Linked DNA regions of Solanum lycopersicum. The protein of the gene in region 1 binds, or shares a complex with, the protein of each later gene. Links are inferred from orthologs where the notes say so. Each region holds a gene or a part of one and is shown on either strand. Other genes may lie near its edges.

Region 1 (8,300 bases):
TTATGTATATTCAATCCTCAACCTCGAGATCTCAAGTTAAGAGAGTCATCCCTGTATGTAGATATAAGTGGAAGATATATTGCAGCTTATATGTATGTAAAACAAGACTCAAAATCATTGGGACAGCATAGGATAATTGTCTTCAAAAGGCATCATATTTTGCAGTTTTTTTTGTTCTGGTTGGAATATAAACCCACATCACCTTCTTTTCCTTCTCCTTATCTGTTTGGTTTTTCCTGGGATACTTGTCAATACAATTAAGCCAACTAGTTCACAATATATGTACAAAAAAGACCAAAATATAAGTATATAAAACCTATATATTGCATACTCAGCGCGAATTAGGCAACGATAACCTCTGTTTCATTATAGCATTTAACTCGAGATGAATCCTGATCATTTTTTTCGACTACACTCAATTCTTTGATCCAAACAAGGTACATTACAATTAGCTGAAACAAACCATTTACCTAACTTTGAAAGTAAAGCAAACTAATCAAAAAGATGCACTTTACATGAAACTTTGTCAACATATACATCCATTATCGCGATTTAAGAACGGCTCCTTCCACAATTTTCCAACCGGAGTTTGCCCAGGACATGTCGTACCTTGTTGTATAGGTAGTACTGTATGAGTCATTGTGCTCTGGATGGGCTACATCAGTTAAACTTGCTGATTCCTCTAGAGTAGCTTCCACAGTAGCACGTCGGCCATCAGCTGAGACAGTTACACTATCAATGGCAAGGTTTAAAAGCTTGTACTCCCAAAACCAACCATGCTGCGCAATTTCTCTTGCACGGTCTGTCCAAATCTTCAGCATCTGACCATCCAAAACCTGTCATTTTGAACAATGTCGTCAGGCAAAATACAAAGGTGACACCAGAAATAGCAAGGAGGTGTATTAAGCTGCATTTGGACAACAGCAAACAACAAAAAAGATGCTGGGTAGTTCATCACGAAGCAACTCGTGTTGAGCAGCTGAATTCTACAAGAAATCATTTGGCTCTAACAAAAAGTTGGTGTGTATGACATTTTGCTGTAAAGATATTATCATAACATTGTATAGAAATTGAGATAGAGCAGCTAACACACAATCCTACCTCTTGCTTTGGCAGGAAGTAAAATCCATTAAGAATTATCTCAAGGCTTTCAGGTTCTATTGCATTTCACGTCATACTATAGTGAAACATAATCAACAATATAAAAAGAAAGGCATTACATATTGATACCTCTGACAATCTGTTGAGACAGTGATCGGTTCCAAGAGACTGGGATTTGATATTCTGCCACTTCCGAACTATACTTTCTGCAAGTCTTGCATCCATTCTAGGAACCTCAAGAGGATTTTCAACTGGTGAGGCAGAGGTATCTGCAGTAGCAGATAAAATTTCTGATATTCAGAAGAAAGGGAAGGTTGGAAAAAGAAAACATAACTGAAACCCTCAGACAAGAATTTAAAAGAACCCCAGACTTGAGAAAATATAATAACAATAATAGAAGAAGATAATTTTTATTAGATAGATGTACAACTACCACTTGTAACAATAAGATTTTTTCTCTCAAATCCAGGTCGTTGAATGAAGCAGCAGAGAAAAGCAAAAGAGAATGGCTCCATAAGGTCATATTTGGTCAACCCCGAGAGTTATTTAGAAACTAAAATGGTCAGTGAGTCATACCCACATTGATAACATCCGAGGCAATGGCTGAACCAGTAGCACTAGCACTATGTTGAACTGAAGACCCATGTCTAAAGGAAGAAAGCTTCAATCCAACCAAAGTCAAGAAACCAACCGCTACTCCAGCACACATAATCTTCACACTTGCATCTTTTATTCTGTCAGTTATCACATCTTGCTCTTGATAGTTAGAACTCTTTCTCTCAGGATCCCCAACAGTCGTAATAAAGTTATTTTGATCACGGAGTTCTTCAAGATCCTCAAATGGCTTAGCAATATCAAATTCGTTCATCTCATTGTCACCATATCGTCTTACACTGCCTTCCCCGTCACCAGCAGGAAAAACTTTCTGTAGTGCCTGAATTGCACTAGCCTTAACACTATCAAGCACAGCTGTAGCTTCAGCTCCAATCCTTGCAATAGCTGCAGCAGCAGCTAAAGGTGAAGCACCACCACCTTCCAGCCTTTCCAAATATCTTAAAACAGTAGGGTCATCATAATAGTCACCAAGCTTAAAAGTGACATCTTCTGTCTCTCTAAATCTGGGAAAGACCACTTCCATCAACCAGGTCTCCAAAAGCTTACATAGTCCAGGGAGCAGATCATTTTCGTTGTCGTCCTTTGAGTGTTCTGCAACAAAAGTCACTATAGATGGATCTCTATAAGGGGAGTCCTCACTGTCTAGGCCCAACCAAGAGCGACATCCATCGACTTCTCCAACAAGCAGTGAACAAAGGCCCCTCTCCAAAGCAAAGTCTATTTCACGGTTTTCTCTAACAGTGTATACAGACACAGAACTGCCGTAAGCTGTAACTTTGGTCTGCTGAAGCTGCTGAAAAAGGTTATCAGCATCTTGAATGAGATGAGGTTTTTTTCCAACAAAAGCTTGAGCAACAAGTGCAAGCGCCACCCCGTAAACTTCAAAGCTTTCTGCAGGAATGTTACTTGGCGTTGCGACGAAGAGGTCCACCTTTTAAAAAGGAAGAGGAAAATGAAGAGAAGGAGTAAAAAGAACAGTTACAAAAGAAACCAAAATAAATGAATGAAGTTAAGCCAACCTGCTCAGCAGCTGTCATCCGTAGGAAGGCCTCATTCATGAAATCTTCTCGTGTGAACCCCCCTGAAATTGCAGCTGCTCCTCCTCCTCCAACAGCCCACAAAATGTTGCGCACGCCTTGAAGAGCCTCTACTCTTTTCATTCGGTATTCATCACCAAGAGGAAAAGCTAGAAGTTCAAGTACGTAGCGTGGATTTATCTCTTCTAATGTCTCATCTATCTGGGATTGCAGATCAAGGGCAAGATTACTTGCACCTTCTTCCTGGAAAAGGAAGGAAGAAAGTTCCTCATTATTTGCTCTTCACTGTAAGCTTACAATTCGACCCAAAAAAGGCATGCATCAGCATTAAAGCAGGCGAGAGGTAAAGAAAAAGTGCAGTCACATATACCCCACACACATACATTACCAAAAACAAACAAACAGAGACGTCTTAAGTGAATCATGGATGACCAAGAAGAGCACTATACTCATTTATAGGTAAATCAAAATGAAGTTAGCAATCAGTACAATGATACAAACCCTCTTCCATTATTAAAGTCATTTGTCAACAGACATTTGCAGCTGGCAAAAAGCTGTGTCATAGTGCATAAACTATAGAAAACAGTTATTTCCATGTGTGTTCCCTTTATAGAATTTCAAATATACCATCACATTCACTCTAACATACTCATATCATCAGAAGTAACTATACCTGCAACAGCTTAAGTGCTCTTTCAAGCAGTTCACAACCTTGAACAAAATCAGGAGGCGAAAGTGCCATCGCATCTCGCGAATGGTCAACATATGCGAGTGCCATAGCTAAGACCACATCTTGCTTGAATGACTTTGGCAACCGCTCTTTCAGCAAGCTTTCCCCAATCTGAAGAACTACTCCAGTCTCACCAGCTTCTTGCAAAACACACAATGCTCCCGGAACCTGTAAAAGCCATGACATTCTTTTAAATTCTTTGCATCCCACAACAACTTTTAGAATATTTAAGTTTTATAACCAACCCGGGTACAAATTTTACTACACTATCAGTTAGTTATGTATTGAGAACTAAGTAAGTGTAGACTGGTAATCTGGAAAATAGGTAGGTGACATGCTACAACGGGTTAAATTACACTGGTCATGTACAAAACCTTTTCTTTAATTTGCATAACTTAAACAATTACCTTTATCAATAGTAAGCGTGGTCTGGTAATCTAGAAAATAAGGTAAGCAACAAGCAACAACTCATTGAACTACATTGATCATGTTGTTCTCACTATATAAAATCTTATCTTATAACCGCGGAATAGTTTTGGCCCAATCCTTAGGAACAACCGCAGCCTTCAAAACTCAGGAAAAAGGGCCCGTCCTTCTATCCTTCTCCGCTTAAATACTAGGCTTAGTTTGCATAGCCAGAACCTATGACCCAAATTACAAGTCCTTCAACCTTGGCGACTTGAACTAAGCCTAGATGCACTTAAAACTACAAACTTCTACAATTTTATTCACTGCTACTTGCAATTGGTAATTTGTAAAATATGATAAGCAACATGCTACAATTATTAGCTAAATTATACAGATAGTATATAATTGAAAAAAGGCATCTAAGATCAACCTGACTTACTTGGGGAGCATAAGTTAATACAGATAAACTTAATTCCAAGTTTCAAACTCCCTATAGCACTTTTCAATTAGCTAAAAAATTATTCAATTAAGAATGTGGGCAGTAAATAAAAAAGTGGAGTAATTGAAATAGTACTTTATCCCAGGGGACCGGAGTTAGAATAGTATCGAACTCATGCTGAGCGAGGCCTTGATTGTATTCTCTACGAGAGGTAGAGTCAGCAAGGGTTTCACAAGCAGCTTGAAGAATCTGTCGTCGGCCAATCAATGCCTCTTGACTGTACCCGTACTGCGGCGGCTTAGTAATTCTAGCATCGTAGCATCTCCTGATACCATCACCGAGGAAGTGAGCTTCAGCACCAAGCACTCTATAAAAGTCTATAGGCATTAAAATGTGGCGGTCTGAAGGAGCAACGGGAGGAGGAATAGTCGTAACAGAGGTTGTAGAAGTTGAATTCTGGAAATCCGATGAGTCGGAGGTGGTGGTGGGGGAAGGAAGGAATTGGAAATCGGCGAGAAGACGATCCGCCCATTTACTGGCGGAGAAGTTCGTCGGTACACTACTTGTTCCACCGGTAACACTACTGGCTCCTCCGGTAACAGCATTGAGTCTCGGCGGCTTCTTACCGGCGCCGCCTGCTAGTTGAAATGGTGGTGAAAGGCGTGCAGTACAAATGCCAAAGCTTAGGTGTGTTAATGCCTCCATTGTTAAGGAAGCTTCAAAATGTGCTCATAATTCATTGTTTTTAACTCTTTCAGATATTTTTTGTTCACTCGTAAAGCAATTGGGCCGACTCTTTCATATGGGCTAAAATTTCTTGTTGGGCTTCGAAACTGAATCTTATGGATGGATAAGTGGATAGGCCCGTTTCATTTGAATGATTAGATGGATCCAATTGCACGGTTTGCTATTTGAATGAACTTATCGTAGTCATCGGATATTATGATGTAAAAATATAAATGTAGATTCCGTAAAAAAGTTACTTTCTCCGTTTCATTTTATGTGCCACTTTCGCATTTCGAGATTCAAACAAGTCTATCGTTGACCATAAGTTTTTCATAGACCTTTTTAACATTTTGAATTATCAATTATTATGACTTATAGTACTCTTTACGTAGTTTAATAAATATATAAATTTTATTTTTAAAAAATTTGAAAATTTCATACGCAAATGTCCGATCAAAGTTAAACTATTTAATTCTCGAAAAACGAAAAGTGTCACATAAAATGGGACGGATTGAGTATTTATTTTGAGGGCTAAGAATTAAAGACCAACACAAAATAAGGATAAAACTGCAAAAGACATATTTTATATGAACCTCTAAATTAAAGGGGTTTTTTACGAGTGAAATTGGACGGAATCGTGGTTCAAATGTAAAGGAAAATATTTTATGAAAAATCAGTTTCGTGGTGAAAAATATTTGTGACGCATATAACAACTATATTATATGAAAATAAAACACGATGATAGTGTTTTGATGATCGTAAAATTGTTGTATTTGTAAAGAAAAAAAACAAAGAAGTAGAGCTTTAGAAGTTACTTGCAATGTTTAAGCTGACCACTTCTAAAGTATTTGACAAACACAAAAAACCAGATTGACATGGAACATATCGCCATTGACAAAACATGAAGACAACTTCAATCTCACATTCTGCAAGTACAACAATAAAAACGACAACCTTAAATTCATTACATTAAGGGATCGGAATCAAAATCTCTCCGTACTTTTTATTATTATCATATTATATCGAACCAAATTAAACCATATATCGAATCCGAATAAGTTCGAATATTGCAACAAATTCATTGCTAATCCGTCCTAATAATTAGTGGGTGGTCCCATTAACACCACTAAGTATTTATTTTTGTCATAGTTGACATTTATAGTCATTTGATTGACTCAAAGCATGCAACTTTTATAATTAACAACATCTTAATCATGGTCTCTAATCTTATTTACAATGTGTCTTATCTTTCTTTATTTTTTTTTTCTTGAATACATCATTAAAATAGAGACTATTATTTCACCATTCCACCTAATTATATAAGTAATACCATCTAAATATAATCATTTGGTTACGTGAGGAGTAATAGATTATTACTTTAATTAGTATTAATAGCGAAATCAGAAATTTTAATAAGAGAATTCAAAAGTTAACATTCTACAAATAAGTTATTGATTCAAGGAGTATTACAGATTTAGTTAGTCTTCTTTCTTCGTGTATTAGTAATACGTGAATTATAATTTCACGTCTCATTTTTTATGAGATAGCATGCGACCTTCATATATAAATGATACGAGCGTATATTTTATACCTATCTTTTGTGATAAGGGATTATTTTTGGTAGTGTGGCAAACCAAGAGACCCCATATAGACTAGAGATAACGAGAAATGTTACTATTATTAGGATGTTTAGTTTGTTAGAAATGGTTAACTATTTTTGGAGTGACATATATAATATCATTGTATATCTTTTGTAGTAGCAACTACATCTATGTATACTACTTAATTCACCCCCCTATCTACCTAAAACCAACTCAACATATACCATATTTCAACCATAAGAGTTTGAGTAGTGGGTGATAGTGAATAGTGGTCCAAAGAATATTGTTCATTGCATTCAACTTCCTCACATCTTAAAAGTGATATATGGAGTTGAAAGAGGCAATGGCAATGGAACAAGTGGACACACTACCTTCGACTATCGTGATGAAATGAATAGAATTTCTCCGGTTCTTAACAAAAAGTCTTGAATTCAAACTTTTCAGGCTGGTATTTTTAAAAAAATCTAGTAGTGAGGAGCAAACTGCACGGATACTTGATTTTGACGTTGTTGTTTGACATTTGCTCATTTTTTAAAAATGTATACACGCTTCGAAACAATTTCAAATATAGTCAGTTTGACAAAAATCTTAAACTTCAAATACAATTTTTATAGTTTTATTTGACTGAAGTTTAAAAACATATGACATTATCAAAATAGACTTTCCCGTGAATTTTTTTACGGTTGAAAGCTATTATTTCTCTTATTCTGTTTGAAGTTTCATATAAATGAAGTCCAAACACACATTGACGACGTCCTATTTGACTCTCTCGTGATATTTTTTTTTATCGTATAGTGCTGGTGTTTGTCCTAATAATTCAATACGACATGAGTCGATATTAAACGAGACAGTAACTTAGATATTAGATATTGAATATCGATTAGGAAAGATAAATTTAAAAAGTGCAATTGGACACGAAATTAAGTGGCCCCCCAATTGATGACATTGATTGCAAAAAATGAAAAGAAAAATGGCTTTATTTATTAATCAATCTAAACTTTAAAGAACATATATAATGAAGATATCAGGCTAAAGGAGTGAACATCGGCTTTTAATGTTATGTACATTATATTATACATATTTGATACATACGTGACCCTCTCAACTATAAAACACAAAGAATCAAGTCGCATTTAATCATTGCCAAATGCACTTTTACCCCCATTTATATTAATGTCAATTAATCATAGAATTTGTCAAAAGCCGCAGAAAGGTAGTAAACCCTTATTTTCAGCCCCTTTTAAAGACCACTTTTTCATAATTTAAAAAGTAAAAAAAATGTTAAAAATGGCCCATAAGATTTAATATAACCAACCATAAAATATCACGTTTTGTTTTTATCGAAGTAATCTCTCTATTTTGAGGTAGAAATAAAATTTGTATATACTTTATCTAGCTTAGACTATATTTTATCGGATCATACTGAATATATTATTATAAAAATTTATTATTGTAAAAGGCGTAAATATATTATGTCGATAAGAATATGATAAAAATAAAGACAAATTCGATTCATAAAGTTAAATTATTTTTTCATTGGAGTGGATTATCTCCACTTACATTAGATTAAATTTTTTGTAGTATGAATAAATCACTTCCATCATATTTTTTACTGTTACGAATAAAGACAATTTTATGGGAAG
Region 2 (8,192 bases), on another chromosome or scaffold:
AGTGGTTTGCAATCCTTAACCTCATGAGTCACGAGTTAGCTTTTGGGGTTTAAGTTAGGTGTAAACTAACATTGGTCTCGAGTTTTGGCTATAATGAGCGTAAAACAACCTGTACCTTACTGCAAACTAGATTATTCATCTTAATTTAGTTTTATTTCATTTACCACTCTGCACATAATACAAGAACTAAGTTTTGTTTAAAAAAACACTGTAGAGTAACTAATAATGGAAATCTTATCATGTTGCAACCAGCATGCTCAGCCATCAACTTCAAACAGGAGTCTCATGGAGCATCAGGTTACTAGTTGTTCTAATAATCTTCATCATGACTCGCCAAGCCGGTTGTCTGAGGAAATGATCAAGTGTATTTCAGCCATATATTGTCAGCTTGCTGATCCACCTTTATTCCATCGCGATTTAAGTTTATCTCCCATCTCAGTTTCATCATCCACACTTGAATCTTTTCCTCAAGCTCAGAGTGATATGAAGGGACGTCAATGCATAGAAAATTCACCTTCCAATTTGTTGAGCAATCCTTTCCACTTTGAAGATTCAAAGGGATTTAGTGGATTCATTGTTAGAATGGTTGAAGTGCAACGGTTATGTCGAGATAGTCAGAGCTTAGATGGTGTTGAACAAATGCTGAAACGATTTCGGTAAAGCCTTTTAACTCAACTTTTTGTACATTTACATTATACCTCTTACATAGAAGCCACCAAAATCTCAACACATTTACATGTTGATAGCTTCTAAAAATAGTTGTTCATTACAAGTACAAATTAACTTTTGCGTTCAACGTAACTTTTGATCTTTCAGTAAACTTGTAAAGTTATGCAAATCTGAATAGTCTTAAACTTGCCAATGCAGGTACCTAGTCTCAAAATTGGAAGAAGTTGCCCCTGAAGAAATGAGACATGAAGAGAAACTAGCCTTTTGGATTAATGTCCACAATGCATTAGTAATGCATGTAAGATTTCTGTACCTAAGAGTTATCCCAAGACCTTTTTTACTATGCGATAAATTATGAACCAGCATCGTGTATGTTACAGGCATTTTTGGTTCATGGGATTCCAAGAAGTAATCTCAAGAGAGCATCTTTACTTCTTAAGGTAAGAAAATTCTGCTAAAATGCAACAGTTTTTACTGTGTAATTGGTTCTTTATAACTCAGTAAGCTTTTTTCATTTTTCAGTCAGCTTACAATATTGGAGGGAATACAGTAAGTGTGGACATGATCCAGAATTCTATACTACAATGCCAGTTGCCTCGTCCCGGTCAGGTAAGTTACTATATTCAATTTCTGTTTCTGCAGTACTTTGAGAGAGCTCATGTTACTACATTTCCTCCTTGAAGTAATATGTATCGATTTTTCCTGTACAAAATAGTGGCTTCAGTCATTGTTCTTTACGAAACAAAGATTTAAGGGTGGCGATGCAAGAAGAGGATATGCAATGGAGCATCCAGATCCTCGCCTACGCTTTGCTCTTTGCTCAGGAAATCATTCTGATCCTGTGGTAATGCACTGACAAAAGCATTACTGTCATTTCGTTCAAACTATCTTTTTTTCCTGTTTTGCTTAGAACATATGATATCTTGTACATATGCAGCTTCGTTTGTACACATCGAAGAGAGTATTCGAAGAACTAGAAGTGGCTAAAGATGATTACATTCAGGCAAACATAAGGGTACACAAAGAACAAAAACTAGTCCTTCCAAAGAATGTGGAATCTTATGTTAAAGAAGTGAATGTGAGTCCATCTGGTTTGTTCGAAACTATAGAGCTGGCATTACCTTGTTATTTGAGGAAGAAATTTCAGCAGCCCGAGCAACGAAAGTTGTGGAAGAAAATTGATTGGATTCCTCACAACTTCAGTTTCAGATACCTTGTTTCAAGTGAATTGGTTGAGTGATCAAACTCAAGAGTTTTGAATGTCAGATGAATCACAATCAAAGGGGCTATTCAGATTGAGAAGTGTGAAATATTTGAACTTGTTGTTTAACAGAAGTGCTATAGTTGTGATTCAACTGTCATTCCTAATGACTAATGAGTCTCCCCTCATTTTCATAAGTGAGTTTGTAATAATTTGGATGGTCCAAAACCTCATTTATTCTCTTGTTTTTCTATTTTTCCTTCTTGTTGAGAGTTTTTCATTGGTTATTGTAGCTCTAAGCAGAAGAATTGTATGCAAAAGCCTAAAGGCAGTTGGGAACTATAAATAAGTGGTGTTGTATATTATAAAGGAGTGAATAGGTTAAATTTAATTAGTGAGTTTTATATTTAAATTATTAGGTGTTTTTATTATCTTTTAACTATTATTTCTTTTATATTTAAATTATTTGGTGTTTGTATTATCTTTTAACTATAATCCTTTCAGATTTAAGAAGTCTCAGTTAAATGTGAAAAAATATGAAGGATAACTTGCCGAGAGGTGAGTGAAGACAATTAAATCTGATCAGAGACTCCTTTCATATATTGGTTGAAATATATTAAAGACTATTTAACCAGATACGTGGCAAATGCAGAAAGAACTATAGTCAATTATTGAACCAGTCAATAGTTAGTCGAACCAAGGACTTGTTAGACCAATTGAGATCAGCTCCAGAACCTCCTCCTCACTCCTGGGATAAAGCCCACGATATCATATTAAACTAGGTCTTGAACCTGCTCGCACCCCAAAAATTAATTATTACATTACCTTCCATACATCCACATTTTCAAAAAATTAAATATAATTTAAATTAGTTGATTTTTTGTGTGACCTCATAAACATTTTGAGGCTAAACAAATAGTTAATGAAAAATAAAACTAATAAAGTTGAAGTAACAAGCTTCAAGTATTATCATTATTTTCATTAATTATAACCCCAAACAAATAGCAACAGTGATTTAGGACCACAAAAATAATTTTCGAAAATCAAAGGTTTGTTGGAGATATATTAGCTAGCGTTTGGTCATAGATTTCCAAATATTCTTGGCAAATATTATTTGAGTGAAAATTTGGGTGAAATTTCACCATGTGTTTGGCCATGAAATTTGGGAAATATATTTCACCTTTTTAGAAAAATATGATTTATACACACAAGTTTTAAAAACTATCAAAACTAACTAAAAGTTTGTATTACAAGTCAATTGAATGTTAGTTACAACAATAACAAATAATGTCTATGACACTGAAGCAATGTGGTAATTTGGAGTGAGTGCAACAAGAATTATTCCATACATCGTGAAGTAGATAAAGTACATGACTTTGTTACCTAAAGCCAATTTTTAATAATTTTCATCAACAATCATATCATTATTTAATATTCACTAAATATTTCATCACTATTTTGGTGTTCACGTAAAAAATGATGTAATACAACGCAAGCAAATACTAGAGAGAGTGTTTTTGTAAAAGATAAAAGATTGGGGTAAAATTTTAATTTTTAAAATATCCCAAATAATAATATTTGGCCCAAATACTAGAAAAAACTAGTATTTGGAAATTTGGGATATTTGCCAAAAATATTTACCAAATAATGACAAATTATATGGACAAACATTATTTACCAAATTTTTTCCAAATATTATTTGAAAAAATTATGTCCAAACGGGCCCTAAGTTTCGAGTAAAAGGACAAAACCAACAATTAGAAATTTGTTTTGTTAAAAGGGTTTATATAGGGAAAAAAAGAAAAAAAAGAAGAAGCTCTAATGTCATCTCTTTAGTTTCAAGAAAGCACCACAATCACTTGTATTTCGCTGCTTCTTTTTTCTTTTGTCACTTTCTTGCCACTTCTTTGTCCTCATTACAGAAACCCCATTTGCGCAAAATTCAAGATTTTCAATTTGCAGTATCCAGAAATCAAGAATCTTTAAGTTATGGATGAAGATAGAATAGGGTTAGTGCTGGCTAGAATCTCTGAACTGAGGGTAGAGATAACGAATTGTATTCACAAAGCATCTAAGAAAGATGAAGTGGAATCTGGAAATGGAGAAGACCCAGATGAGAAAACCCATGAGGGTGATGATGAAGCAGTGGATTGCTTGTTGAAGATTAAGGATGCTCTTGAATCACTTGAAGCCCAAGTGTCTTCTTTGCAGGTCTCTTCTTGATACTTGTTCTACTTCAATTTTGAAACTTGGAATTTTTCCCCTTTTTGGGTAAATGTGTGATTTTAGAAGATTTTATGTATTGCTGACTGACTCTAATTAGTTTGAGATTGAGGGGTTGTAGTTGTTTTCTATATGCTACAGAATTTTACAAAATTTTTACTTTTCTTGATTTGATAAGAAAGGCGGCGCCTAATCTAGGGTTTAACCTTAATGAGTAGTTGCTAGAAGCTTTGTTTGATTTTCTTAACTTACTTGCATCGACTTTTTTGATGGGGTTTCTGTAGTCTCTTTTTTTCAATATTGGCGGTAGGGAAGGGGAAATGGGAGGGGATTACAATGCGGGGAATCGAACCCTCACCAACAAGATGTAAGCCAACCAACTGAGCTCTGTAGTCTGGTATACCTATTGTGCTATGAACATATTTGCTTTAGGAATTTTTCCTCTGTGTGATGAGTGGTTATGTTGTTCTCTTGTTGATGCTTTTATTGCGCGTTAGGGAGAAATATGTTTAAAGTTTTTAGAGTTGAAGTTGGGATACAAATTTGATGGTTAACCTTCTGTTATTTTTTCTGGATGGAAACCTGCATTTGGATATCTGTATTGAATTTTCTTCGGTGAGATTAAGCAAATGTGTAATGGTGAATTAGATGGATTTAACGCAGTTTAGATTTGTTCACAAAGTGAATAAAAGTCTTCTTGACTGGAATGGATGAAAAGCTCTCTGTTTCGATAAACTATCATGTGCATTCTTCAGTTTCAATGAAATGTGTAGAATTTTCAGGATTTGACATTCAGTTATATATCTGATCTCTAAAGCTGTTGCACATTACCATATACATTCATGCTGATGACTGAGAAATCCTGGTTCAAAACTCCGTAAATGATGGGCCCGTGCCTCTACCCTTTCCCAATCAAGTATTAGAGTTCTTATTTCTGGCACAATAGCAGAATTTGAACCGTGATGTGCGCCTAAATCCAGCCCACATTATGACTGCACTCTTACCACTAGACCAAAGCCTTGGGGCTTAAATGTTGTTGCAACTTGCACGTTACTGTTATTTACTACTGTTAGGGTGTGTTCGTACATTTTGTGAACTTTGTTGTGTCCATAATGTATATACATCTACTCCATGTACCATGAAGTCATTTTAAATGTTGTCAAGTTAAGTGGAACCAGCCGTTTTCAAATTCTTGAGTGAGATAAGTGGGACTTAGGGGGTTTAAAGTTTACATGAGGTTTAGATGAGAGTAAAGATGTTTACGTTGTTACCTGAGCAGACTATTGACTACTGTATGCAACTTTGAGTTCAAGGACCGTGGTCAAATGTTAAATGGTAGTCTTTGAATCTACTTTTTTGTGAAATGAAGTGTCTGACTATGTCTGTATATTGCAAGACAAATCGGAGCTCAAATCCTGACCAACCTTAATTTGGATTAAATTCTTCTTCTTCTTTTTGTGGAAAATAATTTGGATAACGTTCTTAGCACCCTTAAAAGCAATCCAGTTGAGATTTGAGTGACAAATCTTTTGTCTTTGATTACTTCCGTATACAAGCGATGAAGGGCATACAGAGGAGAGGGTAAAGGGGTAGGAGAATGTAGCTTTGGATGGGAATAGAACCTTTGCCTATGTAGTGCAAGTGAACCTGGATATTATTACTTATATTGTGATTTTCTCATCTCTCTTTGAAGCTAAAGATTCTGAGGTGCTACTTTTTACTACTCACTAATCCCCTGAAATATAACTTACCTGAACGACCTTCCCCTAAAATTGTTGACTGCTTTAAATTGATTCCATCAATGATGTGAATGCTGATTCCTAGCGCTAGCAGTCTCTTTGTAGGTCACATAGATACCTGATTTTAGACGTCGTTTCATAAACGAGACCAATCATGCTATTCTAATAAGAGAAATGGAAATCTCAGTGTGAAACCCCATAATCCATTTGACACAGCTGAAAATTGATCGAGTGTTTTGAAAAGTTTTCCCCAACTACTTAACAAGAGTTCCAGCTGTGATATTTCTCATTACAAATGTTCTTTTCATGTTACTTTTAAATTGCTGAAAGATTATTATCCAAGGTTTAATTAAGTAGCTTCTGAGTGTAATGTGTCGGCAAAATATTGATCAATCAGACAGGAATTCCTATGTCACTTTGTCGTGGAGGCGTGTGTTTCAAGTGATGTTGTTCCTATCTAATGTGCAAGCTAAGATCTGTTGCTAAGTGTCTGTTGCAGATACTATGTATAGTCAACTGGAAAGTGACTGTATCATGTTGCAAGAAGGATTACATTTTGTTTCCGGAATAAGAATGCCACATCCTAAATGGGTCATCATTTGTCTTTCATCATAGAGTTTGATGTTTGTTTGAAAAATCTTCATGTTAATTTAAATGATTGTTATGCTTAAATTATCTCTTGGATGTGGCATATTGGGCTTGGGGCTGTAGAGCGTGCTTGGTTGTGATGTCCTGCAGAGGGAAAACTTTGCACCGTAATCTCTAAGTGCAGGGTTAAACTTTTGATTCAGTAATCACGTTAGTCAATCCTGCTCCAGTCATTGCAATGCCATTTATAAGCTTTAGAATTAATACTGAAACAAGATTAATCATTGTTCAACGGATGAACTTGTTTTGATATCTTCATTTCATGAAAAGTGACAAGGTGCCTCTGGTCTTTACAAGTAAAACGATGTGTCAACTTTATGGGATTTATTTTCCTGTTAAAGACATTCATTTGCATTTAGTAAATGACTAGTGTCACTCATTACTAGTCACAGTAAAACTGAAAGGCTGTTCTCCCTATTCTAAAGCAGCAGTATTTTCATGACAAACATCTACTAGCCTATCTTCATGAAAATTCTTTAAATGAAGTTGGTACTTACATGTAAAAAGATGGTCTTCCAATTTGTTTCAAACACACTGTAGTCCAATATTCTAAATCAGCAGTATTTTTTTGCTTGGTACTCTTCCAATAGTATCTATGAGTAAATTAGATTTCGTCTTGTCAAAAGTCAATTATCCCAATGCTGAAGTATATTCTTATTCCCTTAGGATTGAATTGCTTATGCCTCTTCCGGAAAACAGTATCTCTGGGCAACTTAGTGAAAATCCTTGTCCCAATTACCTGCCCTGAGATCATGGACCTCATTCTCTGAAGCTGTTGCTGTTATTATCTTGCTCTCTGTTTTTACATGAAATATACAACAAGGCTTTTATGACATTCCTTTTGTTTTCAGATTTATGCATTTCAATTATGTTGTCCCCCTCTATTGAAGCTTATACCTCATTGCCATTTATTTCTAATGTTTCAGGCACTACAAGAACAACAATGGTATGAAAAAGAAGCAGCGCTGGCTGAGATAGGTTATAGTCAAGAAAAATTGCTCCAGACACTGAAAGGGTATGAAGGCAAAGATTACCAAGTCATACACGAGGCAATTGCTTTTGTTTCTGAAACAGTTGAAGACAACAATGATCTTCTACTTCCTCCTTACCCTAGCAGACCTTCTCGTACCCTGGTGTCAGACAAGGGTTATGGGGTACACTTGCCATCTGCACGGAAACTCACTCAAAATGGAGTAACTGGTAGCCACAACCACAATTCCAGGAAAGATGTCGATGACGCTAACCATGAAAGATCTGAGCCTAAAAGCCCATTAAGAATGGTTAAATTCTTCCTCAGTGCAGCAGCTAAGACAGCACTCACAGTTGTTGGTGTAATATCTGTCTTGACTTTGGCTGGGTTCGAGCCTCAGATAAAGAAACGGGATAATCAGATCAATGTTTCGAACTTGTTTCAACAGGTGGCAAACAGCAAAGTCCCCGTGGTTGAAAATGGTGAAACTCAGTGCGTCGTGAAAGAGAGAGTTGAGATTCCATTTGAATCGGTTGTGGCTACTCCAGATGTAAATTATGGCTGTGGATGAAAGGTTGTTCCTTTTTCTGTCTTCTTTTTGTGTAAATCCCACTTTAAGTTTTTGACTCTATTAACTCTGTGTGGCCTGACAATGTAATTTGTCTTAGCTAGAGAAAAGTTCAGTCAGAAAATAAATTTCCCATCTCTCTCATTGTGCCCTGTATACCTGATTTGATATCCT

Evidence for each region. The genes of interacting proteins can lie anywhere in the genome.
Region 2: the proteins of hop-interacting protein THI044 (region 1) and plastid division protein PDV2 are in contact, whole or in part, in a crystal structure (PDB 5GTB), measured with the Arabidopsis thaliana proteins. The link is inferred for Solanum lycopersicum from reciprocal best matches to the Arabidopsis thaliana genes ARC6 and PDV2. Residues at the interface, in NP_199063.1 of Arabidopsis thaliana: Trp686, Gln687, Lys690, Phe694, Arg710, Met711, Ile714, Trp715, Arg718, Glu721, Thr722, Leu725, Leu727, Tyr729, Tyr731, Glu753, Leu756, Glu758, Ala760, Leu762, Asp764, Val766, His767, Asn770, Ala772, Thr773, Asp774, Arg776, Tyr778, Thr780; in NP_028242.1 of Arabidopsis thaliana: Glu287, Arg288, Val289, Glu290, Ile291, Pro292, Phe293, Asp294, Ala298, Lys299, Arg300, Asp301, Val302, Thr303, Tyr304, Gly305, Tyr306, Gly307.

Annotation. Positions count from the first base shown.
Region 1 is NC_090803.1:66,997,723-67,006,022, forward strand, and holds hop-interacting protein THI044, read right to left. Parts: upstream 5,066-8,300; 5' UTR 5,036-5,065; coding exon 4,466-5,035; intron 3,652-4,465; coding exon 3,427-3,651; intron 2,997-3,426; coding exon 2,736-2,996; intron 2,648-2,735; coding exon 1,678-2,647; intron 1,392-1,677; coding exon 1,231-1,391; intron 837-1,230; coding exon 543-836; 3' UTR 345-542; downstream 1-344. UniProt on the Arabidopsis thaliana protein: Component of the plastid division machinery consisting in a binary fission accomplished by the simultaneous constriction of the FtsZ ring on the stromal side of the inner envelope membrane, and the ARC5 ring on the cytosolic side of the outer envelope membrane.
Region 2 is NC_090800.1:92,337,714-92,345,905, reverse strand, and holds plastid division protein PDV2, read left to right. Parts: upstream 1-3,634; 5' UTR 3,635-3,859; coding exon 3,860-4,081; intron 4,082-7,406; coding exon 7,407-8,021; 3' UTR 8,022-8,153; downstream 8,154-8,192. Other genes in the region: uncharacterized protein, read left to right, coding at 253-656, 868-967, 1,050-1,109, 1,192-1,278, 1,385-1,513, 1,607-1,909. UniProt on the Arabidopsis thaliana protein: Component of the plastid division machinery consisting in a binary fission accomplished by the simultaneous constriction of the FtsZ ring on the stromal side of the inner envelope membrane, and the ARC5/DRP5B ring on the cytosolic side of the outer envelope membrane.